7 linked regions of the Sus scrofa genome follow. The protein of the gene in region 7 purifies or fractionates together with the protein of the main gene of each other region. This does not show direct contact. Links are inferred from orthologs where the notes say so. Each region holds a gene or a part of one and is shown on either strand. Other genes may lie near its edges.

What was found.
Region 1: the proteins of ASF1B (region 7) and IPO4 purify together in Homo sapiens (affinity purification with mass spectrometry; 5 studies listed by BioGRID and IntAct, counting the BioPlex papers as one, with this or other methods). This does not show direct contact. The link is inferred for Sus scrofa from reciprocal best matches to the Homo sapiens genes ASF1B and IPO4.
Region 2: the proteins of ASF1B (region 7) and MCM6 purify together in Homo sapiens (affinity purification with mass spectrometry; 4 studies listed by BioGRID and IntAct, counting the BioPlex papers as one, with this or other methods). This does not show direct contact. The link is inferred for Sus scrofa from reciprocal best matches to the Homo sapiens genes ASF1B and MCM6.
Region 3: the proteins of ASF1B (region 7) and CHAF1A purify together in Homo sapiens (co-immunoprecipitation; 7 studies listed by BioGRID and IntAct, counting the BioPlex papers as one, with this or other methods). This does not show direct contact. The link is inferred for Sus scrofa from reciprocal best matches to the Homo sapiens genes ASF1B and CHAF1A.
Region 4: the proteins of ASF1B (region 7) and RBBP7 purify together in Homo sapiens (affinity purification with mass spectrometry; 4 studies listed by BioGRID and IntAct, counting the BioPlex papers as one, with this or other methods). This does not show direct contact. The link is inferred for Sus scrofa from reciprocal best matches to the Homo sapiens genes ASF1B and RBBP7.
Region 5: the proteins of ASF1B (region 7) and TONSL purify together in Homo sapiens (affinity purification with mass spectrometry; 5 studies listed by BioGRID and IntAct, counting the BioPlex papers as one, with this or other methods). This does not show direct contact. The link is inferred for Sus scrofa from reciprocal best matches to the Homo sapiens genes ASF1B and TONSL.
Region 6: the proteins of ASF1B (region 7) and NASP purify together in Homo sapiens (affinity purification with mass spectrometry; 5 studies listed by BioGRID and IntAct, counting the BioPlex papers as one, with this or other methods). This does not show direct contact. The link is inferred for Sus scrofa from reciprocal best matches to the Homo sapiens genes ASF1B and NASP.

The regions. Positions count from the first base shown.
Region 1 is NC_010449.5:75,108,590-75,112,643, forward strand, and holds the start of IPO4 (importin-4), read left to right. Parts: upstream 1-1,254; 5' UTR 1,255-1,788; coding exon 1,789-1,857; intron 1,858-1,944; coding exon 1,945-2,031; intron 2,032-2,187; coding exon 2,188-2,267; intron 2,268-2,344; coding exon 2,345-2,386; intron 2,387-2,789; coding exon 2,790-2,919; intron 2,920-3,010; coding exon 3,011-3,190; intron 3,191-3,438; coding exon 3,439-3,504; intron 3,505-3,608; coding exon 3,609-3,710; intron 3,711-3,796; coding exon 3,797-3,880; intron 3,881-4,054. Other genes in the region: TM9SF1 (transmembrane 9 superfamily member 1), read left to right, coding at 1-207, 775-1,168. UniProt on the Homo sapiens protein: Nuclear transport receptor that mediates nuclear import of proteins, such as histones, RPS3A, TNP2 and VDR. Serves as receptor for nuclear localization signals (NLS) in cargo substrates.
Region 2 is NC_010457.5:15,947,638-15,951,137, forward strand, and holds part of MCM6 (DNA replication licensing factor MCM6), read left to right. Parts: intron 1-1,179; coding exon 1,180-1,335; intron 1,336-3,486; coding exon 3,487-3,500. UniProt on the Homo sapiens protein: Acts as a component of the MCM2-7 complex (MCM complex) which is the replicative helicase essential for 'once per cell cycle' DNA replication initiation and elongation in eukaryotic cells.
Region 3 is NC_010444.4:74,380,876-74,384,375, forward strand, and holds part of CHAF1A (chromatin assembly factor 1 subunit A), read right to left. Parts: intron 951-3,500; coding exon 854-950; intron 301-853; coding exon 200-300; 3' UTR 1-199. UniProt on the Homo sapiens protein: Acts as a component of the histone chaperone complex chromatin assembly factor 1 (CAF-1), which assembles histone octamers onto DNA during replication and repair.
Region 4 is NC_010461.5:13,313,721-13,317,763, reverse strand, and holds the start of RBBP7 (histone-binding protein RBBP7), read left to right. Parts: upstream 1-1,243; 5' UTR 1,244-1,451; coding exon 1,452-1,599; intron 1,600-1,885; coding exon 1,886-2,030; intron 2,031-4,043. UniProt on the Homo sapiens protein: Core histone-binding subunit that may target chromatin remodeling factors, histone acetyltransferases and histone deacetylases to their histone substrates in a manner that is regulated by nucleosomal DNA.
Region 5 is NC_010446.5:348,815-352,791, forward strand, and holds the start of TONSL (tonsoku-like protein), read left to right. Parts: upstream 1-1,177; 5' UTR 1,178-1,259; coding exon 1,260-1,284; intron 1,285-1,384; coding exon 1,385-1,480; intron 1,481-1,668; coding exon 1,669-1,811; intron 1,812-2,326; coding exon 2,327-2,510; intron 2,511-2,787; coding exon 2,788-2,917; intron 2,918-3,246; coding exon 3,247-3,418; intron 3,419-3,533; coding exon 3,534-3,648; intron 3,649-3,977. UniProt on the Homo sapiens protein: Component of the MMS22L-TONSL complex, a complex that promotes homologous recombination-mediated repair of double-strand breaks (DSBs) at stalled or collapsed replication forks.
Region 6 is NC_010448.4:165,773,956-165,777,455, reverse strand, and holds the end of NASP (nuclear autoantigenic sperm protein), read left to right. Parts: intron 1-78; coding exon 79-245; intron 246-764; coding exon 765-821; intron 822-917; coding exon 918-995; intron 996-1,584; coding exon 1,585-1,707; intron 1,708-2,598; coding exon 2,599-2,679; 3' UTR 2,680-3,492; downstream 3,493-3,500. UniProt on the Homo sapiens protein: Component of the histone chaperone network. Binds and stabilizes histone H3-H4 not bound to chromatin to maintain a soluble reservoir and modulate degradation by chaperone-mediated autophagy.
Region 7 is NC_010444.4:65,062,019-65,065,985, forward strand, and holds the start of ASF1B (histone chaperone ASF1B), read left to right. Parts: upstream 1-1,167; 5' UTR 1,168-1,258; coding exon 1,259-1,367; intron 1,368-3,967. UniProt on the Homo sapiens protein: Histone chaperone that facilitates histone deposition and histone exchange and removal during nucleosome assembly and disassembly. Cooperates with chromatin assembly factor 1 (CAF-1) to promote replication-dependent chromatin assembly.

The sequences.
Region 1 (4,054 bases), on a different chromosome or scaffold from region 7:
GCCAGCCACCACCATCCTGCTGCTTCTGACGGTTTGGCTGCTGGTGGGCTTTCCCCTCACTGTCATTGGAGGCATCTTCGGGAAGAACAATGCTAGCCTGTTTGATGCACCTTGTCGCACCAAGAACATCGCTCGGGAAATCCCGCCCCAGCCCTGGTACAAGTCTACTCTCATCCACATGACTGTTGGAGGCTTCCTGCCTTTCAGGTATCCTCCCTTTATTCCATGGCCATCACTCTCAGGTTCTTGGCCTTAACTTCCCTACTCACCCCATACCCTAACCCAGTATCAGGAGTAATCCCCAGTTCGGCTATTACCATTAAGAGATCACTAAGTGATTCCTCCTTTCTCTAAGCAGGACTGAGCTTGAATCAGTCAGTTCAAATATGAGGTTGTCTCACTTGTAAAGCTTTCCAGAGACATTGCTCCTTAAACCATCTTCCTCATTTCTGACTTTAGGGACACCATGTGGAGCTTAAAGCCCATTCGAATACTCATTCGGTTTGAGTGCCTCTCAGTACCAGGCAAATACAATGGGAAAGTAAAACAGATAAGATACCTGTTCTCAACCTACTAAAGATGTTCTTGAAATGAGAGCAGCTAATCATAGGTAAAAGAATCGCCATCAAGCCAGAAACTCCAGGGTAGGGAGTGGAGTGGACCTGCTTTCCACAGTGATCCAATAACATGGAGGGGTGGTGGCTGGATTTTTGCCTGGCCACTGCTGGCAACACACAGCCCTTTAATGCTGTGTATCGTCTCTTCTCTTCACAGTGCCATCTCTGTGGAGCTGTACTACATCTTTGCCACAGTGTGGGGTCGGGAGCAGTACACTTTGTATGGCATCCTCTTCTTCGTCTTCGCCATCCTGCTGAGTGTGGGGGCTTGCATCTCCATCGCACTCACCTACTTCCAGCTGTCTGGGGAGGATTACCGCTGGTGGTGGCGATCTGTGCTGAGTGTTGGCTCCACTGGGCTCTTCATCTTCCTCTACTCAGTTTTCTACTATGCCCGGCGCTCCAACATGTCAGGGGTAGTACAGACGGTAGAGTTCTTTGGCTACTCCTTACTCACTGGATACGTCTTCTTCCTCATGCTGGGCACCATCTCCTTTTTTTCTTCCCTAAAGTTCATCCGTTATATCTATGTTAACCTCAAGATGGACTGAGTTTGGGGTGGCAAAACTATTGCTCTTCTTTCCCTTTCTTCATACCCCATCGATCTCTTACCGTCATCTTTTCTGACTGAGTGAATGAGTTGTGTGATGGCTTTGTTGTCTTCCCCTTTGCCCTTTGGGCCTTCCTTCCCCAGGGAGGGCCTGGAAATTATAAGTCTCTATTATATAAGGAGTATATATTTGAACTTTTTAAGTTGCCTTTAGTTTTGCTCCTGATTTTTCTTTTTACAATGCCAAAATAAAATTTATTAAGAAAAAGGATACTGTAGTTGGAGGATTTGGTCTGGATATCGAAACGCGTGCCTTGCCATTAAGGGCACTGTCTCATAGAAAGCCGGGTCGGCAGCGGAAAGCACGGGATTCGAATTCTCCACGGAGCTTGGGAACCCTCGGCTGGGGGAACCTCCCTTACCAGGGCCCTGTTTCAGCGGCTCAGCCGGAGCTCAGCCCAACGGAAGTGGCGGAGCCGGAGCTCTGCGGGAAGCTAGTTGAATCACCTTGGCGACGGGAGGGGCGCGGAGCAACGCCCCTTCCGCCGGAAATGGGTTATAGAGCCTCCACGTGCTGTCCCTCCCCCCGCCCGGGCCGGTAGTGGCGGCTCAGCTGCTGCCATGGAGCCTGCCGGCCTAGAACAGATACTGCAGGAGCTGCTGCTGCCGGACACAGACCGCATCCGGCGGGTACTGGGGCAGGCGGGACCAGACCGGGCCGGGGCGAGAGGAGGGTTGCGGGAACGGCCTGACTCTTGACCCCTAGGCTCTCCCCAGGCCACCGAACAGCTCCAGACCGCTCTGCGGGACCCCACTGCCCTGCCCGCGCTCTGCGACCTGCTGACCTCGGCGGGCGACCCTCAGGTGAGGCTCCTGCCCCTTCCCGCTGAGCTGCCCTTAGTACGCTACCTATCCAGCCCCAGCTCCAGCCCCCGGCGTCCCGCGCCTTCCTGCTCCGACCCTCACATGCCTGCTGCTTCTCCCTGCCGGAACCCTCACATGCTTGCTTCCTCATCCCAGATCCGGCAGTTCGCAGCTGTGCTGACCCGCAGACGACTGAGCACTGGCTGGCGGCGGCTGGTGGTGGAGCAACGGGAGAGGTGGGCTGGGCCAGGGGCGGGGCGGGGCCAGGCTGAGGCGGCTCTTGGGTTCCTAACACCTGCCACTTGTGTTCCAGCCTCAAGTCCCTGATCCTGTCGGCCCTCCAAAGAGAGACAGAGTAAGTGCCTAGAGCCCCCTCTCGGGGTCCTAACTGATTCCAGGCTGAGACCTTCTTCAGGTTTCTACCTTCTTTTTCAGCTCTAGGCTGGATCTTGGGGGGCAGGGACTACAATTCTAGACCAAGGAGGAAAGTTCTTTAGCATGGGCTGTGATTGTTTGTCAAAACCGAGTCCGAAGAATGGAACTGAAATTCAGTATGGGTGATGTCAAACTCACCAGATTGCACACCCACCATGGTGCTGGCTTCCCCTTGAGCTTCTGCCTTATGTGTTCCAATTTGGCAGAGACCCTGTGCCCACATCTGGAGGTTTCTCTTGTGGCCACCCGGTGGAGGCAGGGCCATTGTGTGCAGGGGAGGGTATTGGAGGGTGATTAGGGGTGGGGAATCTCTCCCTTTGCAGGCATTCTGTGAGCCTTAGCCTGGCCCAGCTCTCAGCTACCATTTTTCGAAAGGAAGGCCTGGAGGCCTGGCCTCAGCTCATGCAGCTTCTTCAGCACAGTACCCACAGCCCCCACATCCCAGAGAGAGAGGTACCAGCGCATGGTTGGTGGGAGGAAGGGACCTAGAGGCTGGATGGACCATGTAAGCTTTTCCCTCTCAACTCCTGTTTCTCCTGGGCAGATGGGGCTTTTGCTGCTAAGTGTGGTGGTAACCTCCCGGCCTGAAGCCTTCCGACCCCACCACCGGGAGCTTCTTCGGCTTCTGAATGAGACCCTGGGTGAGGTGGGCTCTCCTGGGCTCCTCTTCTATTCCCTGCGCACTCTGACCACCATGGCTCCTTATCTCGGCACTGATGATGTGGTGAGATATGGTCCCTCACCTACCCTGGCTCCCTGTCCTTGGGCTTTCATGTCCTCACCCTTGCGAGTCCCAGAGGTACTTCAGATTCTTTCTGGTTTTTGTCCTGCCTAACAATTGAAAGGGGATCCTGTGGGTGGGTTTGCCTGGGCTTCTCCTACATCCAGGCTTCGAGGAGGCTGCCAGATCCTCGAGCTTGAGATTAGGCTGCATCGTGCTTTCTGTAATTCAGCTTGTCCTGTGTTCTCCAGCCTCTTGCGCGGATGTTGGTGCCCAGGCTCATCACGGCCGTGCAGGCTTTGATCCCTGTAGATGAGGTGAGAGCGTTCGGTAGGAGCTCTGTTGGAAGGAAAGGGCGGGAGTGTTCCTCCTCGTTCACCAGAGGAGAGCACTGAAGCCTTGTGACTTCTCTCTCTGGCAGGCAAAGGCCTGTGAGGCCTTGGAGGCCCTGGATGAACTGCTGGAGTCAGAGGTGCCCATCATCACCTCCCACCTCTCAGAGGTCCTCACATTCTGCCTGGAGGTGAGCCCGGGGTTGGTGCTGTCCCTGCTGATTGTTTTGATGAGAGTTTCCTTGTCTGTTTCTGATTCGAGTTGGTCTCTGGGCAGGTGGCTAAAAATGTGGCCTTGGGTGACGCAATACGTGTGCGTATTCTCTGCTGCCTCACATTCTTGGTCAAAGTGAAGAGCAAGGTGAGTGCCCTCTGACACATATCACCCCACCCCATCTCCATCCTTCATATCTTACTCTGGGGCTTTCTGTCCATCTTAGGATGTCTGAAGTACTATCATTAAGATGTTTTGATTTTGGTGTCAGCCCCAGCTCTTGGCTAGGAGATTGGGAATCTCTTGCTGGACCCGCTGTGG
Region 2 (3,500 bases), on a different chromosome or scaffold from region 7:
CCCTGAGAATTATTAATCCAAATTATAGGTGCTGTTTACGGTACTGTGAAAATTATTGCTATGACGCAAAGTAGAAGTACTGGTGAAATTTTTAGTACTTTCACAATTTCCACAGAGCTTCTATAGTCTTTGATAAAGAAAGGGTACTTCCATTTGTAACCAAAATGATGAAAGTCAACAGATTATTTAAATGAAAATAATAAATACAGTATTGTAACTAGCATTAGAGAGAAGCCAAACTTTAAGAATAAAAGCAATATGGTCAGTTAAGAAAAACATAAGCAGTACTTTAAAATAGAAGTTAAAAAGAGAAATCTTCCCTTACAGCTTCCAGCACCAGTAGATACTCAGAAGTTTCTGCTGACTTTGTGCCCCTCTTAGGAATGTTTTATCATGAATAAGCATAATAAACATACAGTTTTGTTGCTTGCTCATTAAATTCCATCATTTTATTTTGGTAATCTTTCTATACCAGTACATGTTAGATCCACTTTAGTTTTTTTATTACTGCATGATTTTCAATTGTATATATCCCATTTTGGCTTAGTAGGCTCTTATACAGTGACATTTAGGTTATTTCCAGCCTTTTGTATTCTAAATGATATTATAATAAATGTCCTTAGACACATTTTCCCATACCTCGCTGCAAAGTAATTTCTTAATAAGAAATTACTGGCTTAAAGGGTGTGTACATTTGGAGTTCCCGTCGTGGCGCAGTGGTTAATGAATCTGACTGGGAACCATGAGGTTGTGGGTTCGATCCCTGCCCTTGCTCAGTGGGTTAACAATCCAGCGTTGCCATGAGCTGTGGTGTAGATTGCAGACGCGGCTTGGATCTTGTGTTGCTGTGGCTCTGGTGTAGGCTGTTAGCTACAGCTCTGATTCGACCCCTAACCTGGGAGCCTCCTTTTGCTTCGGGAGTGGCCCAAGAAATGGCAAAAAGACAAAAAAAAAAAAAAAAAGGTGTGTACATTATACCACCAACATCATATGGGAGTGGGTACCTGTTTCTCTTTATTATCAGACTTTAATTTTAATGATTCAGAAGGTGAAAGATGGTAATCTTATTATTTTGTTTTGCATTTAGTTAGTTATTAGTGAGGTTGAGCATTTTGTTGTATGCTTATTGGCCATTCCAATTATCTTTAAACCTATCACAATTTTTCCTTTTGTGGTCAGGCTACTCTGAATGCCAGGACGTCCATTTTGGCAGCAGCAAACCCGATCAGTGGACACTATGACAGATCAAAGTCATTGAAACAGAATATAAATTTGTCAGCTCCTATCATGTCCCGATTTGATCTCTTCTTTATACTTGTGGATGAATGTAATGAGGTAATCACATGTGCTGTCTTCCTTTGTTGTTTCCAATTTGAGTAGTTGAGCCAAACCTGGAGGATATACTCCTGAAGAACTGGTGCATATGTTGGCAGTGACTTTTTTTTTTTTTTTTTGGCAGTGATTTTTTCTTTCTCAGTGCCACAGGTTTGGACAAAGGTTTATTAAGCAACTCAAAATAGAGTCACATCAAGTTTTTTGTTTTTGTTACTGTTTTTAAATTCTCAAATAAAAGAGGAAACATATTACAGTAAATTCCCAACCATATGCTTCAAGGTTTCTATAAGATTTTTTCATTGTTTTCTGTTTCTTCCAGGAGTATTGGAAAGAATCAGAATGCCAAACAGGAATTTTTTTCTTATTTTAAATTATGAGTCATTTGCCCTCCTGTACTGTACTTTCCTATCAAGTTACTACATGTGTCACATTTTTTCCTAATTATGTAGTAGTTTTAAGATTGAATGTAAAATTGTGGATTTACTTAGGTTTTAACATGTTAGTATTAGAGTTACTTAGACTTAAATATTTAACAACATTGCACGTCTTAGATGAGCACAGAACTACAAAATGTCCTTCTGTAGAAGGTAATATTGTATCGTACTTTTTAACTGCTGAGCATGGAGATCCTGCATTACATTAGGCCCAATGCATGCTTCTTGTTTATAGCAAAACTTTAAATATTATTCAAAATAAAAGCTGCCTTCTGGAGGTTCCACTGTGGCACAGTGGGTGTGTGATCCAGCTTGTCTTTGTGGAGGAGCTGGTTTGAACCCTGGACTGCTGCAGTGGGTTAGGGATCTGGCATTATTGCAGTTGTGGCTTAGGTCACATTTCTGGCTTAGATTCAGTTCCCAGCCCGGGAACTTCCATATGCTGCCAGGGCAGCTGAGAAAAGCAGGGAGGGTAGGGAGCTGCCTTCCATTAATGTGAATGTTTAGGCAGTTTTTGTATTTTATGTTCGGGTTTGGCTGTTTTCCTTCACAAATCTATGGGGAGCTGCCTTCCATTAATACGAATGTTTAGGCAGTTTTTGTATTTTATGTTCGAGTTTGGCTGTTTTCCTTCACAAATCTATGTATTTAACCCATTCCTCTTTGAAGCCCCATTGTTGGGAGTTGTCTGATTTTCATATATTTCTGTCTGTACATAATACTAAATTAGTTTTTTAACTTTTTAATTGAAAATAATTTCAAACTTACAGAAAAGTTGCAGGAAATAGAATAGTATATATAGTACCCCAATAGTCTTTTTTCAGTTCACATATTAACTTTTTGCCTCATTTGCTTTACCATTTGCTCTATATATCTCTACTTTTTTTTCCTGTACCATTTGAGAGTAAATTATGTATTTTTAGTATGATTTTATTTTTTCAATGGTAATAACAATTCTATGAGATTATCTTCATGTATTCATAAGTGGCAACATAATGTAGTGGCTAAGAGGACAGACTCTGAAGGTAAAATCTTCAAATCCTTTCTCTGTTACTTAATCACTGTGATGTTAGACAACTTACTTAATCTTTCTGGGCCACAATTTACTCATTTGTAAAATGGGGGTAATATTACTTACCTAATAAGGTTTTTGTGAGGGTTGCATGAATTATTGCTTCTGGATATACTTAGGGCAATAGTGACTGTCATATACTGAGGGCCCTAGAAGTCTTACTTCTGTCATATTAAAATCAGTTATTTCTGGAGTTCTCCCTTGTGGCCCAGCAAGTTAAGGACCCAGCATTGTCTATATGAGGATGCAGGTGTGATCCCTGGCTTGGCTCAGTGGGTTAAGGATCTAGTGAGCTGAAGCATAGGTTGCAGATCCAGCTCAGATTTCGTATTGCCATGGCTGTGTAGCTGCAGCTCTGATTCAACCCCTAGATTGGGAACTTCAGTATACCATGGGTGTGGCCATAAAAGGAAAAAAATATTAAATCAGTTAATTCTTTCAGGAGTAGTCTTAGAGCAGTTTAAAGGTATACATTTAAACTTTTGATTAAAACTGAAGAAACTTTTCTCAGAAACTTGAACCCATTAATACATCTTACGGTGGCATATTAGAGTTTGTTAGCCATAAATAATTTCTTAATGCCTGAGATAGCCTGAAGTGTTTATTGTTATAACTAATCAAAGTGATTTTCTGATTTCGAATTAGGTCACAGATTATGC
Region 3 (3,500 bases), about 9.3 Mb from region 7:
GCAGATTAATATGCAGCTTTTGGGGAAGATTTTTACAAATATCAAAAAGAACTAATCAAGCATCCTATATAAAACTTTCCAAACCTCCAGGGAGGTCTGTGAAGCAGGACAAAGTGCTCTTTACAATAGGAATCAGGACTTTCAAGTATCTGAGAATACCCTAACCATTCTACATACATACACAGGCCAGTCCTGGTGCTCAGGAAGGGCTGAGTGAGCTGGAGGCCACAAGGCTCTCACTGGTGTCCATTGCCACAGACCCCCCAGCTCCAGAAGTGGTTCCACACGTGGCCTGGATGTCTGCAAGGCAAGAGAGGGAGGGACTTCAGCCACCGGCTGGCTGTCGGGGTGGGCAGCTAAGTGGGTGGTCCTGCTCCCTCACTAATGCTTAGGCTGTCCACCTCGTGCCTGTGTGCTTTCTGTAGCACTGTTCAGCAGACTTTACACTTGAACCTCCAGGTTTGCCCATGGCAAAGATGAAGAAAGTGGGCAGCAAGGACCAGTGGTGTGCTGGAGCTCACACTGATGAGAATTGCTGGTCTTGGGCTCCCTGCCCCTGGGTAAGCTGGGTTCAGAGGCTTCCCCTCAGTACTGCTGGTTACCCAACCCTTTGGACCCTCCCTCCCTGACAAAGCTCGTCACCACCAACTTTCGGGTCTTTAGTTTCTTACACGTAGCTTTCAGACCAGGGCAAATGCTCTGCCCAAACTAACATCAGACCAGCCTGCCCTGGCCTTCCAGGGCCTCCTCACTCAGTCCTCATTAGTCACAAGAGGCAAGTGGGGGAGTAGCAGTACCCGCTCTTCCCTCTCCTGCCAGCTTAAAGGAAAAGAGGGTTTGGGACCCTTCTCACCCCCAACATCTGAGATGTCCATGATCACACAGTCGCCTTCCTCCTCCTCCTCCTCCTCTGTGTCTGCTTGGAAGCCGTCTAGGTCTCCAGCTCCGACCTGAACAGACAAGGGTGCACAGCCATCAGCAGCAGGTGGGGACGGTGTGACCCTCCCAACACCCGCCTCTATACACCTGACCTCTTCTACCCATTTTGGCAACAAAATTTGAGGAGTTTGTTTGAAAGGTTATGATCAAAGGAAACCTTGGGGATGCTTGTCTCAAATGAACTAATTATGTTCAGATGTCTGAAAACTATGCCCATCGTTATTTACCTTACTAAAAAAGTGGCTTATTTATTGTTTTGTTGTTGTTTGTTTGCTGTCTAGGGCTGCACCCACAGCATGTGGCAGTTCCCAGGCTAGGGGTCAAATCAGAGGAACAGCTACTGGCCTACACCTCAGCAACTCGGGATCCGAGCCGAGTCTGCAGCCTGCACCACAGCTCACGGCAATGCTGGATCCTTAACCTACTGAGCGAAGCCAGGGATTGAACCCATATCCTCATGGATACCAGTCGGATTCGTTTCCACTATGCCACAATGGGAACTCATGTTTGTTTATGGTTTTTGAATTAGAATTCTGTGTTTCTGGTTTGGTTTGAAAGAGATTGATAAGGCACACACCTTCTCTGAATTATTGTTTGGAATAAGTGGTTGAGAAGTTAATTGGTCAATGTTTTCTTCTCTGCCCAACAGCTTAGTCCCCTCTGCCTGAAGCTTGCTAATTCTTTAATTTAATTTATGCTCAGGCCAGTTTGGCCCATGAGGATGCCACTTGCACCGTGTGGTCAGAGGTCAGGAGGGGCAGGAAGTCCTCTACTGAGGGTAGAATTTCCAATGACATCCCCAAGCTGTTTTTTGGTTTTTGTTTTTTTAGGGCCACATCCACAGCATATGGAGATTCCCAGGCCAGGGGTCAAATCGAAGCTGCAGCTGCCAGCCTACACCATAGCCATGGCAACACTAGATCTGAGCCACATCCACAACCTACACTGCAGCTTCCAACGCGAGATCCTTAACCCACTGAGCAAGGCCAGGGACCGAACATGCATTCTCATGGATACTAGTAGGGTTCTTTACCCACCGAATCACAATGAGAATTCCTCCCAAGCTGTTTTCACTGGCTTTCACCAGAGGGAACAGGGACAGAATGTGTAAAGTAATGGAACCAACTTTACACACTGACCATCCTCACAAACACTCTGTACATGAACAAAGAACTAGCAGAGGTTGTGGTGCTAGGCTATGTCTCAAAACACTTCTGGAATTTCCTCTGCAAAGAAAACTCCCTTTGCCTTTAAGGGATGACAGCACTAGGAGACCATCTGCTTTGCACCTGGGCTGCCTGGCCTGGCCGGCAAACTGGGCTCACACCCGCAGCCCCCAGTTCTAGCATAGGAGCTCGGCACTGGGTCCTCAGGCTGGGAGCCACTGAGGCAGGAATGGCCCCGAATCACTGAGAGGACGCTGCAGGCAGTTTCTACCTGAAACAGGTAGAACTGACTGGCCCAGAGCAGAGAGAGCAGCTCTCAACCACACTGACCTAGAGGTTTGGGTTGGGGGAGCAACAGGACAGACACACGGATGGATCTCTTTACGGGCCTCCCTGTCCCTGGGGACTGAGTCCCTAGTCCCTCCGTGCTGAGAGCTATCAGCAGCTTGTTGCAATGGGACAGCTCCACTTGCTGCTGTTGCTACCACAGGCAGAGGGTGCAAAGCTGCAGAGAGAGCCTCAGGAGTTAGGGAGACACTTAACAACCACAAAGAACTGAGACTGGATAACACTGTTGTCCTTTTGATCACAGGATACTTTTGGCTGGAAGAGGCAAACAGAGCCCCTCCCCATTTAAAAATAAAAGCAAAGCCAAAAAGCTGAGTCACCATGGGAGCACACATAACTTGGTGGCAGAACTGGCACCTAACATCCGCTTGTCTGCCTCACTAGATCATGGTACCTTGTAAGCACATTTGAACTCTGAATGAAAATATTAAAAAATTCCCACAAATAAAAAAAAAGCCCAACCCCATCTAAAACATTCACATACATTTAGTTTGGCAACAATTATCCCCAAGGATGTGGAAGTATCAGTTAGTGGCTTTACCAAAATGCAAAGGGAAGCATCCTGCCTGCTCCCAGGCCCCTAATCCTGCCTTCAGAAAGCTGTACCTGTGACCCCCGTTTGACCCAGGTGCTGTGCGGCAGCAGGCTTGCTCCATGCACACCCAGAGCTATCTTCCCATGTGCCCTTCTGGAACAACCAGAATCTTGGTGGTGGTGGTCAAGGTCTTGTTGCCCTGGCTTCTCTTGCAGCTGGGGGGGGGCTGTGCCAGAGCTTTCTGGCTGGAAAGACAGAGGTGGAAGTCTGCTTCCCCTTCCAGCTAAACAAGGGTGCTCCCCTGGGAGGGCTTGGCTATCCTTGTCCTGCTGCCTGGAGGTGCAGCAGCCATTCTGCGACCAGGAGGACAAGGCCATAAACTAAAGCAGGAGGGAGTCGGATACAGGGGGAGCCTGGCCCTGGACAACAGTGTTTATATGCTCAGGACATGTTGCTAGAGACAAACCCCATGCATTTAAGGGGACACAGGGGGGTTTGTACCTGAAGCCCAC
Region 4 (4,043 bases), on a different chromosome or scaffold from region 7:
CCTGTGCAGGGGCAAAATCCCCTGCAGTCTGAAAGACTGCAAACATCGTTCTAAAAACCCAAATTTGTGAAAACGTAATTCAAATCAGCTTCGGGGTGTTGGTGGCCTGTGCACAGGCCCCAGTTTAGCCAACCAGGGAGGCCCGGCGGCTTCTGCAGTCAGAAAACACCCGCGGCCTCTGCAAAAGTCCCCCTTTGCCTCCGACAAACAACACCTCGGCTCCACCAGGCCCCAGGAAAGGCTAGTCGGGTGGAGGGAGACCTTTCGAGGTGCACACAATTGCATGCCTGCGATTATCTGGGAGACTTTGAGGGCACAGTAATCTCTCGAGACCAGAAACCATTTTCCTCTCTCGCTCTGAGATTGTGCCTGGCTAAGCAGCAACAGCCTCCCTGCCCCCCTCCTACCCCCCACCGCCACGGCCACGGCCGCTGCAAGCAGCCACGCCCCGCGGCCCCAGGGCTCGCCGCCCCGGGGCTCACAGCCCCCACGCAGCTTGCACGCCGCACCTCCCTTCGCCCCACCCCCGCGCGCCCCCATCCGCCCCCGCGGCCGGCCCTGGGAGCGCCGGGCGAGACCTCGCGCCTGCGCCTCGCCAACTTCCTGCCGCGAAACGTCCCGCCCACCCTCCAGAAGCCCGCCTCCGAACGCCGCGTGAAACCTGCCTGCTGCACGTGATTGGTCGAAACCACCAAGCCGTTGGCTCCCAGGCCCGCCTCTCCACCGCCTCTCACTTTTCCCAGGGCGGATGCGCCTGCGCTCAGCTGCCTGGGCGGGCTGGGAGGCGCGGGTTGAAAAGTCTCGTTCCAAGTTTGGAGAGAGAGAGAAGAGCGTCTCAGACCTCGGTACCCGCAATCGGGGAGGAGGTAGGAGAGAAGGACGCGGCGTCTGGGGAGCACCCAGGCTGAAAGACGGAGCTGAGGCTTCGAGAGCTGGAAGTGTGTGACGCGCCTGGGAAAGGCAGGAGCGCCTACTGTTGGGCTGCTCTTGGCTAGCGAGGGGAGTCCGAGGCGGCGGCGAGGGGCAAACGACCCGACGCAAGATGGCGAGTAAAGAGAGTAAGAGGCCCTGCGGGGCGGCGCGCGCCGGGGCGGCGGGGGCGGCGGGCGCGCGAGGCCGCGGCACGCGCCGGCGAAAGGCGCGAATTGGCGTGAGGAGCAGGGGGCGGGGCCGGGCGCGAGGCTGGGCGCGCGCCTCGAGGGGCCTACGCGGGACGCGGCCGCGGCGCGGAGGGCTGCGAGCACTTCCGGAGCCGGGCGCGGGGCCGCGATTTGGGCCCCCTCCCCCCCCACCCCGCCACCCCCTACCCCCTCCGGCGGCGGCGCTCTCGGTCCCCGGGCGGAGGCGGCCTCCGTCGCCGGAAAGCGGGCGCGGCGGCTTCTTCCACGCGCGCGCGGCGGCCGCCTCGGGGTCGCGGCTCTTGTCCGGGGGAATTCTGGAACCCGTGGCTTATGGCTGCCGACGCGGGCTTCGTGGGAGCCGAGGCCTCTCCTGGTGGGGGATGGAGGGAGCGGGCCGATGGGTTTCTGCTACACGTGGATTCGTCTCGCCGGGTGGGTCGGGGAGCCTCTTTACATACGGCTCGTCATCTCCGAACAGGTGCGGACAGCTGTAGCGGCAAAACATTTGCGATGTCCGTGTAATTAATTACCCGATTCTGTATTCGCAGGCATTATTGATTTCAAAGTGGAGAGGGAAAAAAAAAAAAAAAAAAGCTTCCTGGTGTTAATATTCTCTCCACGTTGTGGACGAGCAGTTCGTGTCCAAATTAGAGAGAGAGGAGATTAGGTGTGGCCATCTCGAGGTGACCTCCGGTATCTGTGTACAGGTTTTGTTTTCGATCCCTCTCCGCCACTTAATCGTGTGGGCTTTCTCCAAATTTCAGTGTTTGAAGATACTGTGGAGGAGCGTGTCATCAATGAAGAATATAAAATCTGGAAGAAGAATACACCGTTTCTGTATGACCTGGTTATGACCCATGCTCTTCAGTGGCCGAGTCTTACCGTTCAGTGGCTTCCTGAAGTGACTAAGTAAGGGTTTCTGGCACCTTTTATTTTGCGTAAATTTAACTGTTGTCCTGGATTTCCTACTTTTTGGCGTTTTCTGTATGGAACGTAAGCATGTAGTTAGTTTAGCCCTTGGGTGAGGTGGCAGGTGATTTTTATTTTTAAAACTTAAGTGATTTGGGGGTTGGTTTCTGGCGTAATAATGTGGCGCTTAAAGGGGGAGAAAGAATCTGTTGTGAGATTAATGTTATTTGCGGGAGGCACCGGATATGTTTGACATTTATTGGGCATTAACATAGAGCAGCATCTTTTTGGGTGCCAGACTGGTGGGATTTCTTTAAAAACTTTATGGGAAAATAGCGTGCCTAGGAGTTGCGGCTGTGGCGCGATGGGATTGGCGGCGTCTCTGCAGCGCCAGGACGCAAGTTCTATTCCTGCCCCTGCAAAGTGTGTTAAAGGATCTGGCATTGCCGCAGCTGCGACGTAGGTCGAAACTGCGGCTTGGATCTGACCCCTGGTCTGGGAACTTGCATATACCGCGGGTGTGGCCATTAAAAAAAAAGAAGAAAGAAAACAGCTACGTGCAGAAAAGTGCACAAGTCATAAAATATGGCTTGATTAATTTTTGCGAAGCGCACACATCCTTGTAACCAGCCCCCAAGATAAATACGTGTTAATTGCAAAGGGGAAGAGAACTGAGCAGCAGTTCACTACCGGAAAGGTGGGGTTGTTGGCTTATAGTGTGGGATGGGATACACTTTGAAATTGCTCTTGGTCCTCTTAAGAGTATTCTTTTCAATTCTTTGTCAAATTCTCCGGTGATAACTACTGACATTTATTGAGTACTTAGAATACGGCATGGCACATCTCAAGAGTTTTGTGTCCTGTTATTTGGTTTAATACAACAGTAGAATAATTACTTTTTATCATTCTTGTTTTACCAATGTGGAACCGGGCTGAAATGTTGAATAACATGCCCCAGATCACACAGCTGGTAAGCGGTGGAGTGGGCTTTTGAACCCAAGCCAGGTGGCCCCAGAGTTGTGGCAACCTCTGCCCTAGGTTATCTTTTTCATACAGTTGCACATTTCCTAATAGAAACTTGGCCATGCACTTTTACAAGTGTGTTAAATTGTGAGCATATAATTTAATGAGGATTAATCCAACTCGAGAGAGGGAATTTTGTAATGTAAGAAATAAGAGTAAATAAATTACCTTCACATAAAACCGATATAACGGCTGGATTGTCCATATGCGAACATTGACTTCTACAGATAGGGACTTCCATTGGGCTTACCCCAAAATCTCAATGTCAATGTACAGCGGGAAGAAGAGCCGACAACTAAACACTGCAGACTTCTAAGTATTGATATTTATACCAACTTTGACCAGGGTATTGAGGTTCTGGTTTAGAGCATTGTGTGCGTTTGGCTCTTTGTTTAAAACTTCAATTTACATTTCCTTGGATCTTTTTGACCTAGTGTAACAATAGACAAGATGGAGGGCTTTAAGGTTAGAGACCTGAGTTTGAATCATGCCTCCTGCTTCTTGGCTTTGTGAATGAGGGCAAATCGGTCAGTCTCTATCCCCGAGTAGTCTGGTCTGTAAACAGAGGTGTTGGCGGTTCTCACTGCCTACATTTGAGGGAATAAATAAGATCACACATGTTGAAGTGCTGGCTGATGGTAATTCTGCCACCCCTTCCTATTGAGAAATAATTTGTTAGGGTGGAATAACTCTTCATTTGTATTTGAATGAAGGCTGCTTCTTGAAATCTTTAAAAAATGTTACCCACGATGTGGTTTGTGTAAAGGTTTTATTTATTTGGTGTGTAAAGATTTGAAAGATAATAGTTCTGTGTGTTTTCGGCCCAGATGTTACGTTTATATTAACACTTGGGAATTTAACAGAAATTAAATTATGTATTCCATGGTGTTCTCTGCATATGAGGAAGTGGGATCTGGTTGTGGGATGTGCAGTGGCTCTGGGAATGCAAGAAAATGCCAGCCAGCCTGCATTCTTGGGTGTTGAGGACAG
Region 5 (3,977 bases), on a different chromosome or scaffold from region 7:
GGCGCCGGAGTGGGAAGGAGCCCTGAGCCCTCCGCCCTCTGCCCGGGTTTCTGTGGCTCAGCGCCCCCTCCCCACGCTGTCTCCCCCGTTGCCCTTCACATCTCACCAGCCTGCCTGCCAGTCATCCACCTTGGTTTCAGGGCCTCCTGTCCTGCCCTCTGGGCCCCTGGGGGCAGGGTGAGAGAGGACCACATCACTCAGGAGCCACAGAGGAGGGCCACCTGTGGCCGACTTCTCACTTCCTGTGGCTCCTCCTTCTCTGGACCTGGCACCCATCCAACCTCCCTATTACTCCCTCAACAGCAGGCCTTGCTGCCCTTCCACTGGCAGAGAGTTTTACCCCACTGGGTTTGTTTCCATATCCACAGAAAATAAAACTGCCCATTGCCCACTTCTTCCAGGCCTCCTCTGGGGCCTTCGGGGTGCCCAGGGCCCCGTGGCAGGCCAGGGACTGAGAGCCCCAAGGTCTGGCAGGTCTTTGATTCTCAAGGTGTGGGGGAAAGGACAGGACAGGCATTCGAGTTCTGAGGCCAGGTGCCCCACGACCACAGGGGCCCCCGTGTCCTCCTGCGCTGAGAAGTCGGCTAGAGCGCTGTGGGCTTCGTTCCTGCTCCTTTTTCCCTCTCAGCACAAAACAGGTTTGCAGGCTGTACTCCCGAGTTTTCCAGGAAAACAACTGGCTGGCGTGCACATCGAGGAAGCAGCATTTTGCTCAGTTCATTTTGGAAAACAGTCCCCTTCCCTCCCCACCCCCGACCCCGGCCCTGGAGGTAGGAGCCCCACACGTGACGACTGTGGCGCGCTCGAGGCTCTTCCACGGGTTCTGTGACAGGGACACCTCTGATTACGCCAAGTACTCAAGTGCTTGCGGTCCCAGACTCCGTCCTCTTCTCCCACGCGAGGGCAGTGCGCTCCGCAGATCAAGCCGCACGGGCAGGTAAGTTTGCGGGCTGGCAGGACAGTGGCAGCAGGGGTGGGAGCCCCGGAGTTCCCACCTCGAGGGCAGCTGCGGGCTGAGGGGCGGTGCCAGGAATCTGGGGAGGCGCCCTCCATCTCGCCCCGCCCCGCGCCCCCCTTCCGGGCCAGGCGCCAGCACGACTACAGCTCCCAGGATGCCTCGGACGACTGGACTACACTTCCCAGGATGCTCCGCGGGCCGCAGGCCCGACTGGGCCTGCGCGCGGCGCCCCAGTGGGAGGGACCGCCGCCAAGGCGCGAGAACGCGGGAAGTCTGGAGCCCCTGGCGCCGCTGCCGGAATATGAGTCTAGACCGCGAGCTTCGCCGTGAGTTCCCTGCCGAGCGCCCGAGCGCAGGGGCCGGGAGCGGGCCTGGCTCTCCCGGGCAGGGGGGCTCCGCATCCAGGCCTCGTCCTTCTTTTTGCAGAGCTGAGCAAGGCCAAGGCTAAGGCGCAGAGGAGCGGGCAGCTGCGGGAGGAGGCTAATCTCTGTCACCAGCTAGGGGAGCTCCTGGCCAGCCATGGTGCGTGGGGTGGAGTCCGGGACTGAGAGGGGGGCGTCGGGAGGACCGGGGGGCCAGGGGCCGGAGGTGGGGAGGCGGCAGGGCGGGGGCCTGCTCAGTGTGCCGCCCAGGGCCGGTCGCTGCCCCACTGGCCCTCGCGGCCCGTGGCCCCCTGTCCGGCCAGACTGGAACGTGCCCCGCCCGCCCAGGCCGATACGCCGAAGCCTTGCGAGAGCACCAGCAAGAGCTGCAGCTCCTGGAGACCGCCGGCGACCCCCTGGGCTGCGCGGTGGCCCACCGCAAGATTGGGGAGCGGCTGGCGGAGATGGAGAACTTCACCGAGGCCCTGCAGGTGAGTGGAGGCCGCGTCTCCTGGGCCCGCGTTGCCCGAGGGTCCGTTTCTGAGGAGGGAGTACAGCCTCCACCGTCCAGGCCCCTGGGGAGAGGGGGACACGCTACCATTGGGCATCACCTTCAGAGAACCCTGTGCCAGGCGACGGCAGCCTGGTCTTTGGATGGGTACACCACAGCCGGGCCGCAGAAAGCCCTCGTGAACATATTTCTGGAGCTGAGTTTGTGGGCTGGTTGGAATCCTGACTTTTTCTACACAGAGCTGCCTAGTCCCTGGCTTCTGGGGCTGCAGCAGCCCCCCTAACTCCCACTCATCTCCCCGGTGATGACTCTGGCTGGTTGGAGCGGGGTGCTACCGTCCCCACAGGCAGCCCTTGGCAAAGAGATAACGGGTGTGTGTGGCATACTCTGGGGGCTTGGGGAGTGGAGAGCTCTTCTAGGCGTCCCCCTGGAGTTGGGGAAGGCGTGGGTTGCTTGAGGTGGGGCTTGGCTCACAGGGGTCATTCTGTGCCCCAGCACCAGCACCACTACCTGGACCTGGCACGTTCCCTGTCCAACCACACTGAACAACAGAGGGCCTGGGCCACCATTGGCCGCACTCACTTGGACATCTATGACCACCAGCAGACAGAGGACGCCTTGCTGCAGGCGCAGGCGGCCTTCGAGAAAAGCTTGGCTATCGTGGATGAGAAGCTTCAGGGTGACTGCCCTTGGGACCTGGCTCTCCCCACCTTCTACCTCCCGAACTCCGCGGGGAGAGGAGGCTTCAGCCCCAGCGCCTGCCTGCCCTGTGTGGCAGGACCCCCCTGAGGGGACGCCTGGCCTGTGCTCCTCCCCGCCTGGGGTCTGGCTGCCTCTGCTCTTTGTCCCTCCACACTGCAGCAGAGCCCCTGGTGCCTACGAGAGGCTGGATAGGGCCTAAGGCTGGCGAGCCCCAGCGGGCCGAGGTGCTGAGTGTCTGGAGGCATGTCTTCCAGGGACACTGGCCAAGCGGGAGCTGAGTGAGATGAGAACCCGACTCTACCTCAACCTGGGCCTCACCTTCGAGAGCCTGCGGCAGGCCGCCCTGTGCAGCGCCTACTTGAAGAAGAGCATCTTTCTTGCTGAGTAAGGCCTCACTTGACCCCTAGAGGGAGCCGAGCGCCCCGTTCCTGGAGGAAGCAGCTGCTGCCCCCTAGGCTGCTCCCAGACCCTGCTGTGAGGGGTGAGGAGCGAGGGGCAAGGGGCTGGGCTGACCTCACACCTCTGCCCCTGGCAGTTTCCTATTAGCATAGAAGCCTGGCACGTCTGTGCCTCAGGCTGGGGCCAGAGCAGGCTCTGCTTCGTGGGGGCTGGGATCCCAAATGGCATCAGAGGTTGCACATCGGCACTTCCGGTGCCCACCCTGCTGTCCCAAAGCCAAGTGCCTCAGCACGAGGGCCTGTCCCCACCCACAGGCAGAACCACCTCTACGAGGACCTCTTTCGCGCCCGCTACAACCTGGGAGCCATCCACTGGCGTCAGGGGCAGCACTCCGATGCCATGCGCTGCCTGGAGGGGGCCCGGGAGTGCGCACGCCTCCTGAAGCAGGGCTTCATGGAGAGCGAGTGCTGCGTGCTCATCTCGCAGGTGCCAGTGGTTCCCGGCAGCTCCGGGCCCAGCTCCCGGGGTGGGGTGGGGGGGGTGGGGGTGGGTGGCCGGCCTTCGGAAGCCTGCGAGCCTCCCTCCCCTTCCCCCCCCCCAGGTCCTCCAAGACCTTGGGGATTTTTTGGCTGCCAAGAGAGCCTTGAAGAAGGCCTATAGGCTTGGCTCCCAGAAGCCTTTGCAGAAGGCAGTGGTCTGCCGGACCCTCAAGTATGGTGAGCCTAAAGGGGACCCTGGGGGCTGAACCCCTCAAAGGGGGTAGGAAGTTCCCCTCCTCCTTCAGCAGAGGAGGCCTGGGCGTGTGTCTTTTGGGAGGTGACAACAGCCACATGGGGCCCCCCCACCTCGTTGGGAGGAGCTTCTCAGGGTGTCGGGGTGGGGGCGATGAGGTGGGAGTGCGGGCAGTCCGTGTGGCCTCAGGGCCTGGTAGGGGGCAGTCAGCGGGGTCCCCATGCTGCCAGTCCTTCTCTGCCCTAAGCGGTCCTTAATCAGCCTTCCCAGTCCTTGTGGTGACCTCTCGAGGCAGCTCCGCCCCCCCGTCCAG
Region 6 (3,500 bases), on a different chromosome or scaffold from region 7:
TGGATCCAGTGATTGGCAGTTTAAAAAACAAGGCTCCTTTTGTACCTATTACTGATGACTTGAGCCTTTTCTTTCTAGCTGTACTGAATGAGCAGATGAAGGAGGCCGAAGGATCACCTGCTGAATATGAGAAAGAAATTGAGGAGCTGAAGGAGCTGCTCCCAGAAATTAAAGAGAAGATAGAGGATGCAAAGGAGTCCCAGCGGAGCGGGAATGTAGCTGAACTGGCTCTGAAAGCAACTCTGGTTGGTTTGGTTTCCTTTTATTAATGTTTTGATAATAGCATGTTCAGTATCATGAGGGCCTTTATCATGGTGTTAGTGTTCCATTTGCTAGAAATCTTACTCATGACTTGGTTTGCAGGGAGCTGGAGGTCAGCAGGAATGTGAGAACTCAGTAACTAAAATGGGGATATTGGTACCTATATGTTAAAATATTTCTGACAGTATAAGACAAACAGAAATTGCTGTTTATTGCAGACTTACTCCCTTATCTGAGAACTCCTTTGTATAGAGAGATAGTGAAGGCTTTTAAGCCCAGATTGCCTGGCTCTGCTTTTGGCTGCTCGAATATTAATTTATTTACTCTCTACCCTCCAAGGCCCCACCGGGGGTGTGGGAGGCATGGGTGACAGTGTGGGGTAAATGATACTGCTCGTCTGTGGAAGGCACTAGAATTGGACGTCGTAGTTGCTGGTAGATGGATGAGCTGGTGGGCTCTATCCTGGGACCCAGACCCACTGGGGTTTGTCCTCTTTTGCGCAGGTGGAAAGCTCGACTTCGGGTTTTACTCCGAGCGGAGGAGGCTCTTCCGTCGCCATGGTGGGTATTCCGGTGATTTTTGTCACTTAACATATGAGCCTTGGTTTTGTCTCATATGTAGCAGTGCATTGCTAACACAGGCTTCCTTTTTGCCAGATTGCCAGCAGAAAGCCAGCTGATGGTGCTTCCTCATCAAACTGTGTGACTGATATTTCCCATCTTGTCAGAAAGAAGGTAAATCTGTGGTCGTTTCTGTTTCCCACTCTACAGTTTCTTCCTCCAAATGATGTGTGAGGCTCACCTCTAACATGTGGTGACATGAAACACGCGTCGGGAAGGCGGGAGGATTCCAGCGAAGACGCTTGTCAGTCGAATACATCCTGGAGTTTCAAACTCTTGGCCTTTCTTATTTGGCCGAAGGGTGACGAGGAAGGCTGCTGAGGACGACTGGTCAGATCAGCCCGTCTTAGGAAGCTCGCAGGTTTCCTTTGACCTGCCGAGGCTTAAGCTTTTGTGAGCTGGCCTTCTGCCTGCTGCAGTAGATTTTTTCCCTCTTAGGGGAAAACTTTACCTCCTGCTCTGTTTCTTAACTCAAATACAGGATTTCAAACCGGGGGTTGGTTACTGTTGAGATCTACTCCTCACCCCCACCCAGCCTCTGCATTAGGCTAAACTGGCTCTTCCGGCTCTCAGAGGCGCCTGTGTTTGGGATCTCTGCCCCATATGGAAGAAGGGGGTGTTGGGGATTGCTTATAGTTGTCCTTAAAAAAACATTTTTAAAAAAGCACATTCGTTAAGCTTCCACAATTAATTGTATCTTTAGAGGAAACCAGAGGAAGAGAGCCCTCGGAAAGATGATGCAAAGAAAGCCAAACAAGAACCAGAGGTGAATGGAGGCAGCGGGGATGCTGTCTCCAGTGGAACCGAAGTTTCGGAAAACATGGAGGTGGGCAGTTAAGCAGGGTCTGGACTCTCGCCTCCTCGCTTCCTCTTGTTCTCAGGGCCTGGGGAAACTCCTCCTCCCACATGCATGTTCCTCACCTGAGCCTGTTTGGATTGCTGGGGTGCAATGCTCATAAAAACTGTGAGGCTGTGGGTTAAAAAAAAATGTAGTTCCCACTATGGCACAGTGGGTAAATGATCCAACTTGTCTGGGGGTGCCAGTTTGATCCCTGGCCTGGCTCGGTGGGTTTAAGGATCTGGCGTTGCTGCAGCTGTGGTATAGGTCGCAGCTCCAGGTTAGATTCAATCCCTGGCCCAGGAACTTCCATATGCTCCAGTGGCAGCCAAAAAGGAAAAACCAAAAAAAGTGAGGTTGTGGCGTTCTCTTGTGGGACAGTGAGTTGAGGATCCTGTGCTGTCATTTCAGTGGCTCATGTCACTGCCATGGTGAGGGTTCATTACCTGGCATGGGAACTTCCACATGCCATGGGCGTGGCCAGAAAAACCCAAAATATAAGCAAAAACAAAACCAGCAAACAATGAGGCTGTGCAGAAAACAGTTGGGTTATGAAATGGGAGGGTGTCTGTTGACAAATGGAATCCATACACCTCCCAGAGGTCCCTGCATAATGAATGTGTGAGAAGACAGCAGGCAGGACCGTTCGGGCACTTGTGCTTTCTCCTCTTTCCATCTAATGATGTGTGAACACTGGTTCTGTCCAGCCCTGCTGCAGAGTTTAGGAAATGGCCTTACAGTTTGTGGCCATTGCTTTCTTAGTGTAGGGAGCAAAGCAGAATTTAAGGGACCTGTATTTACTTCCTTTGCACAGTTGTATGAGAAAAAAATGGCTTAAATTGTGGTCATTTATGCCCAGGCTCCCTGTTTATCTTCCAGGCTGAGAATCAGGCTGAGAGCCGGGCAGCAGTGGAGGGGACAGTGGAGGCCGGAGCCACAGTTGAGAGCACTGCGTGTTAAGAGAGGGAGTAGAGCCTTCCTCCCAATGGAAAGTGTTTTTGTATATAATGTATTTTTTCACTTTTGGGGGATTCTTTTTGTATAACTTCAATAAAGATTGTAAGCAAAGGTTGAGGCTTTGATGATTTTTTTTTTCTTAAATATTGGCTATCTTGGTGCCTTGGTGCACTCCAGGTTTTATATCGTGGCCAAAGGTTTTTGGTTTTTTTCCTCTTCTGTACTGATCTCAGTGTTAAGTTTGAATCCAAGATCCTGTCTGACGTGGAGGTGATGAAATCCAGTGTGCTGCAGGCCCTTGTCTTCCAATGGTGCTATGTTTTTTCCATTATACTCTACTGAACCCAGCTGTCTTTGCAAATGTTGCATGGTGCTGACCCTGGATAGGGCTTACAAAAACAAGACTTGGTGAAGATGTTGCTCTTTGGTGCTGATACTGTTTGATAGACTTTGACAGTGAGCTGATGTAACAGCTTCTAAGCCAGGCTTTGGGTGGCACCTGTCTTTTATCCACCAGGTTTCCAACTGGGGCCATAATCCTGTCCTGGAAAAAGAACTCTGAAGGAAACTGAGCAGAGGAGGGGAGTGATCCTTGAGGAAAAAGTGTGTGTTAACTGTAGAGGATTGAGCTTTTGGCTTGAAAGTGGCTGAGGGACTTGATTGATGGACACCCTGGATGTGGTTGGTTGAATCTGGGGAGACTGGCTGATTTGAGTTATATCTGTTGTATTTCAACCATTCTGTACACAAAGTATCAACAGTTGAAAGTGTTACCTGTCTGCAGTTTTGACTCTTAAATAAAGATGCAAAAAAGCTCCTGGTCT
Region 7 (3,967 bases):
TTAACTTTTTAAACTTTTTTAAAAAACGTGGTTAACTTCAGAAAAGTGTAAAACTAGGTGCGCTGTCACAGGTGGAAGCAGGGAGTGAGTGCGGATGTCCCTACAGTCTTCCAGACAGGGGGCGACGGCGCTCCAGCCCCAGTGTGGGAGTAAAGTTTCTAGATGTATTATGCAGTCATAAATCCTGCCAGTAAATTTTCATGACCCTGTTCAACGCGCGGGGAAGGGTGGCCTCGAGAGGTAAGTGGAAGAGGCCGGACTCGAACTCTCATTTACAGCGTGTCTACCTGAAACCTCCCCAGAGGCTCTCGAAGGGGAAAAAGCCGGATTCGAACCAAGCCCGACTCCCGCGACCCAGGCCCCCGTGAGCCCCGTTACTGTCACACCGTCTCCCTTCAGGGATGGGTTAAACGTTCACAACGTTCACAACGGACTCCCGGGCCGCTGGGCCTGAAGGGCCAGGAGACCCATAGAGAAACTTCCGGCAACGCTCACCTGCTGAGACTCCAGAGCCGCAAACGCTCTTCCTTTCTCTTCTTACACCCCGCTCAACAGCGCCGGCAGTCGACTTCCGCTCCACTCCTACGAATCCCCCACCGAGTCTTATTTCCTCCCGCCCCCCAAGGTCAACTCAGCCAATAAACTCTCAGAGAATCGGCTTTATTCCCGCCCCACCCCTGCCTGCCAATCACCGCAGGTCAAGCACCGCCCTTCCCGCACTTTAAGAGGGGATTTGGCGAGCGCCGCGCGCCACCAATTGACGGTTGGCGGCGCTGCCCGCGGCTGGAAGCACCTCCCGGAAGGGCGGGGCTAAGTCCGGACAGCGCTAGTGCGGGGACCCTCGGGATTGGCCAAGAAGAGCCCTGCGTTTTGACCCCGCCCACCCCGCCCTTGACATTCGAGTCGGAGACTCTAGGGATTGGTTCCCGGCGGACTCCCAAAGAAGCCAAGAGACTGTCCCGCCTCCCTCCCGCATCCAGAAGAGGGAGCTCCACCGATTGGTCTCGGGAGTCTCGGCGCTTGCCTACCGACGCTCCAGGATTGGCTGGGGGGGCGCTCGCGCCGCCAGGGAGCGTTGACGGTGATTGGCTGGAGGGTGGGGCCGGCTATTTGAAGGAGGCGCGCGAAGAAGATTAGCTCTTCAGACCGCGATCGGAGGAGGCGCGAGCAGTTTTGGGTAACGCTGTTCTGCTGACCTGACAAGACCCAAACGTAGTCTTGGCCCCAGCTCTGGCTTCAGCCTCGGCCCGACGAGGCAATGGCTAAGGTGTCGGTGCTGAACGTGGCTGTTCTGGAGAATCCGAGCCCTTTCCACAGCCCCTTCCGGTTCGAGATCAGCTTCGAGTGCAATGAGGCCCTGACGGACGGTGAGACTGGGCCTGCGTGGAGCGACCCCCCTCCCCTGGGCCGCCCCGACCCTCCCCTTGGAGACAACCCTGTGAAACACCCCCTCTCCCCCAAATCTGATTTCCCGTAAACCAACACCCACCCCCAGCCTTAACCTCCCCTTTGGGAAACTACCCCTTCACCGTACCCCTATGGTTACTCGCGTTTTCCCCCGTGAAAACCTCATTATCCCCCTCTTTTTCCTGTAGCTCTCCTCTTGGGTACCCGTTTTCTAGGTAGAGACCGTCAGCCACCCTGACTTTCCTGTAGCAAGAGACTGCCCCTACCTACCTACTATTTAGGGGCAAGCCGCCATTCCAGCCATTCAGTCCTCCCCACCAAAAGGCTGTCCCCTGTGGTGAGGCACTCCCATCTCACTTTTTTCCTATGGAAACCCCAACCTCCAGCCCCCTCGAATTTCTCCTATGGAAATCCAAGCCCCCTCCCAATTTCCCTATGGAAACCTCAGCACCCTCCCATTTTCCTTATGGAAACCCCAGCTCCCGCCCCTTTCCTATATGGCAACTTCAGCCCCCTGTTCCATTTTCCCAATGAAGACCCTCTCCCCCTGTGACAAGACCTCACTCACCCCCATCTTCCCATCTGTCTTCCCATAATCTCCTCCCTGCTTGCTGATGCTCTACCTGGGGAAGCATGGCCAAACAAGCATAAGTTGGTTCTTACCATTTGCCTGCCAGATTCCTGCTGACTTACTGTAGCAATTCTCCCCCACTTTTGATGGTCTGACCTAATCTGGAGGGTGGGTATGCCAGGCTGAGCCATGAAGGTATCTGGCTTCAATCAGCTCAGAGGTCACAACCTTTTGTGCATCTTTTTCAAGGCGCTTTTATAGATGTACTTATTCATCTGTGTGACAAAGGTGGACATGACTCTCATCTCACAGATGAGAGCATGGGATCCACAAAGAGTAAAACACCTTTTTTGTACTTCTATAAAAATCAAAAAAAAATCTAAGGTCATTCAGAGAGTTTTGGCACCACTTTCGGGAGAAAGTACTCCATTAGACCTCTTCTCCACTTAGTGGTTAAGAGGCAGCGGCTAAGGAGGTGGAGATCTGTGAGGCCAGGGTGTGCTAACTAGCACCTCTCAGTGGTAGGTGTGTGCTTTGCATGCAAATTAGCCACTTGGTCTAGCCTGGAGTTGATAACCCTTTTGATATATGTGTGTGTGTGTGCTTAGACTGGGCCAATGGATCAATCTTCCCTGTTTCTCTCCTTTCTAAATTAAGGAATCTACTTGTGACTATAGTATAAGCCCAGTTAAATCCTTTCTGGAACAAGACAGTGTAAATAAATAAAGTGAAGAATCACCCTGTGGAATAAGATTTCATTTTAAAGCTAGGAGGAGATGTAAGGAGCTAATAGGTTAAGGGATTCACAGAGCCAGATGGCAGAAGATTGAGTTTCAGTATGTCTGTTTGTGATCCTCGGGGTTAAACATGGTTGCATGGTCATTATCTAGTACATTTACTCCTACAAAGTTCCTCTCCTGTTACTTTACTAATCTGTTACTAGAATCAGCACAGGAAAGGCTAAAGTCAACCTGCTGATCATTATCTTTCTTTTTTTTTTTTCTTTTTTAGGACTGCACCCACAGCATATGAAGGTTCCTAAGCTATGGGTCAAATTGGAGCTACAGCTGCCGGCCTACACCACAGCCACAGCAACGATGGATCCAAGCCTCATCTGCGACCTACACCACAGCTCACGGCAACGCCAGATCCTTAACCCACTGAGCTCAGCCAGGGATCAAACCAGCAACCTCATGGTTACTAGTCAGCTTCATTAACCACTGAGCCACACTGGGATCCCCGGTCATTATCTTTTAATAGAGAGAAATGGAATGATTTCTCCAAGGTCACATAGCCAGTTTGTAGAATTATTGACACTAGGTCTTGTCTCTGAGTTCTTTGTCCAAAGTTCTTTATCTTTCTGTAACCAGGGAAAGGCCTCTCCTGTGGAATGTAAATAGGACTGACCATAGATTTTATTTCCACATGAAAACACTGTCAAAAGAGGGAAAGGTGGTGCTATTATTAATTATACCTGGACAGTGAAGCTTTTGCTCAGAGAAATTCCAGTTAGAAAACCTGGAAATGTAGAGTCTTTTGTTGTACCTCTAGGGCTATCCTTGACTCTGACCTGCCAACTTGCTTTCTGCCTCTTCCCACAGAGCAGAGAGAATTTGTTTCCTGCCTCCCAAACAGATGGAGTGGGTCTGGCTTTAGAATTCTCTCAGATCCTGGAGAAATCTCAGTCTTGTTTCCTAGTGACTTCAGATACTGGTAACTGAAGATTTGAACACTCAGCCCCCAGTCTGACCCATTTCTCAAGGGCTCTGAACCTCTTTTGCTCTCTCTTCTTCTTAGCATCTGGAAATAGATGTTTGCAAATCATGAGTCCACATTCAATACATTAGATGTGTTTTTCCCCTATTTAATTGAGAAATTCAACGGATGCTGCTTGAATAAGTCTTAGAGCCAGATGTTCTGACCCACACTTAACATGCTATAGACAAGCCAAGGTTCATATGTATGATTATAAATAAAGGGAAAATGATA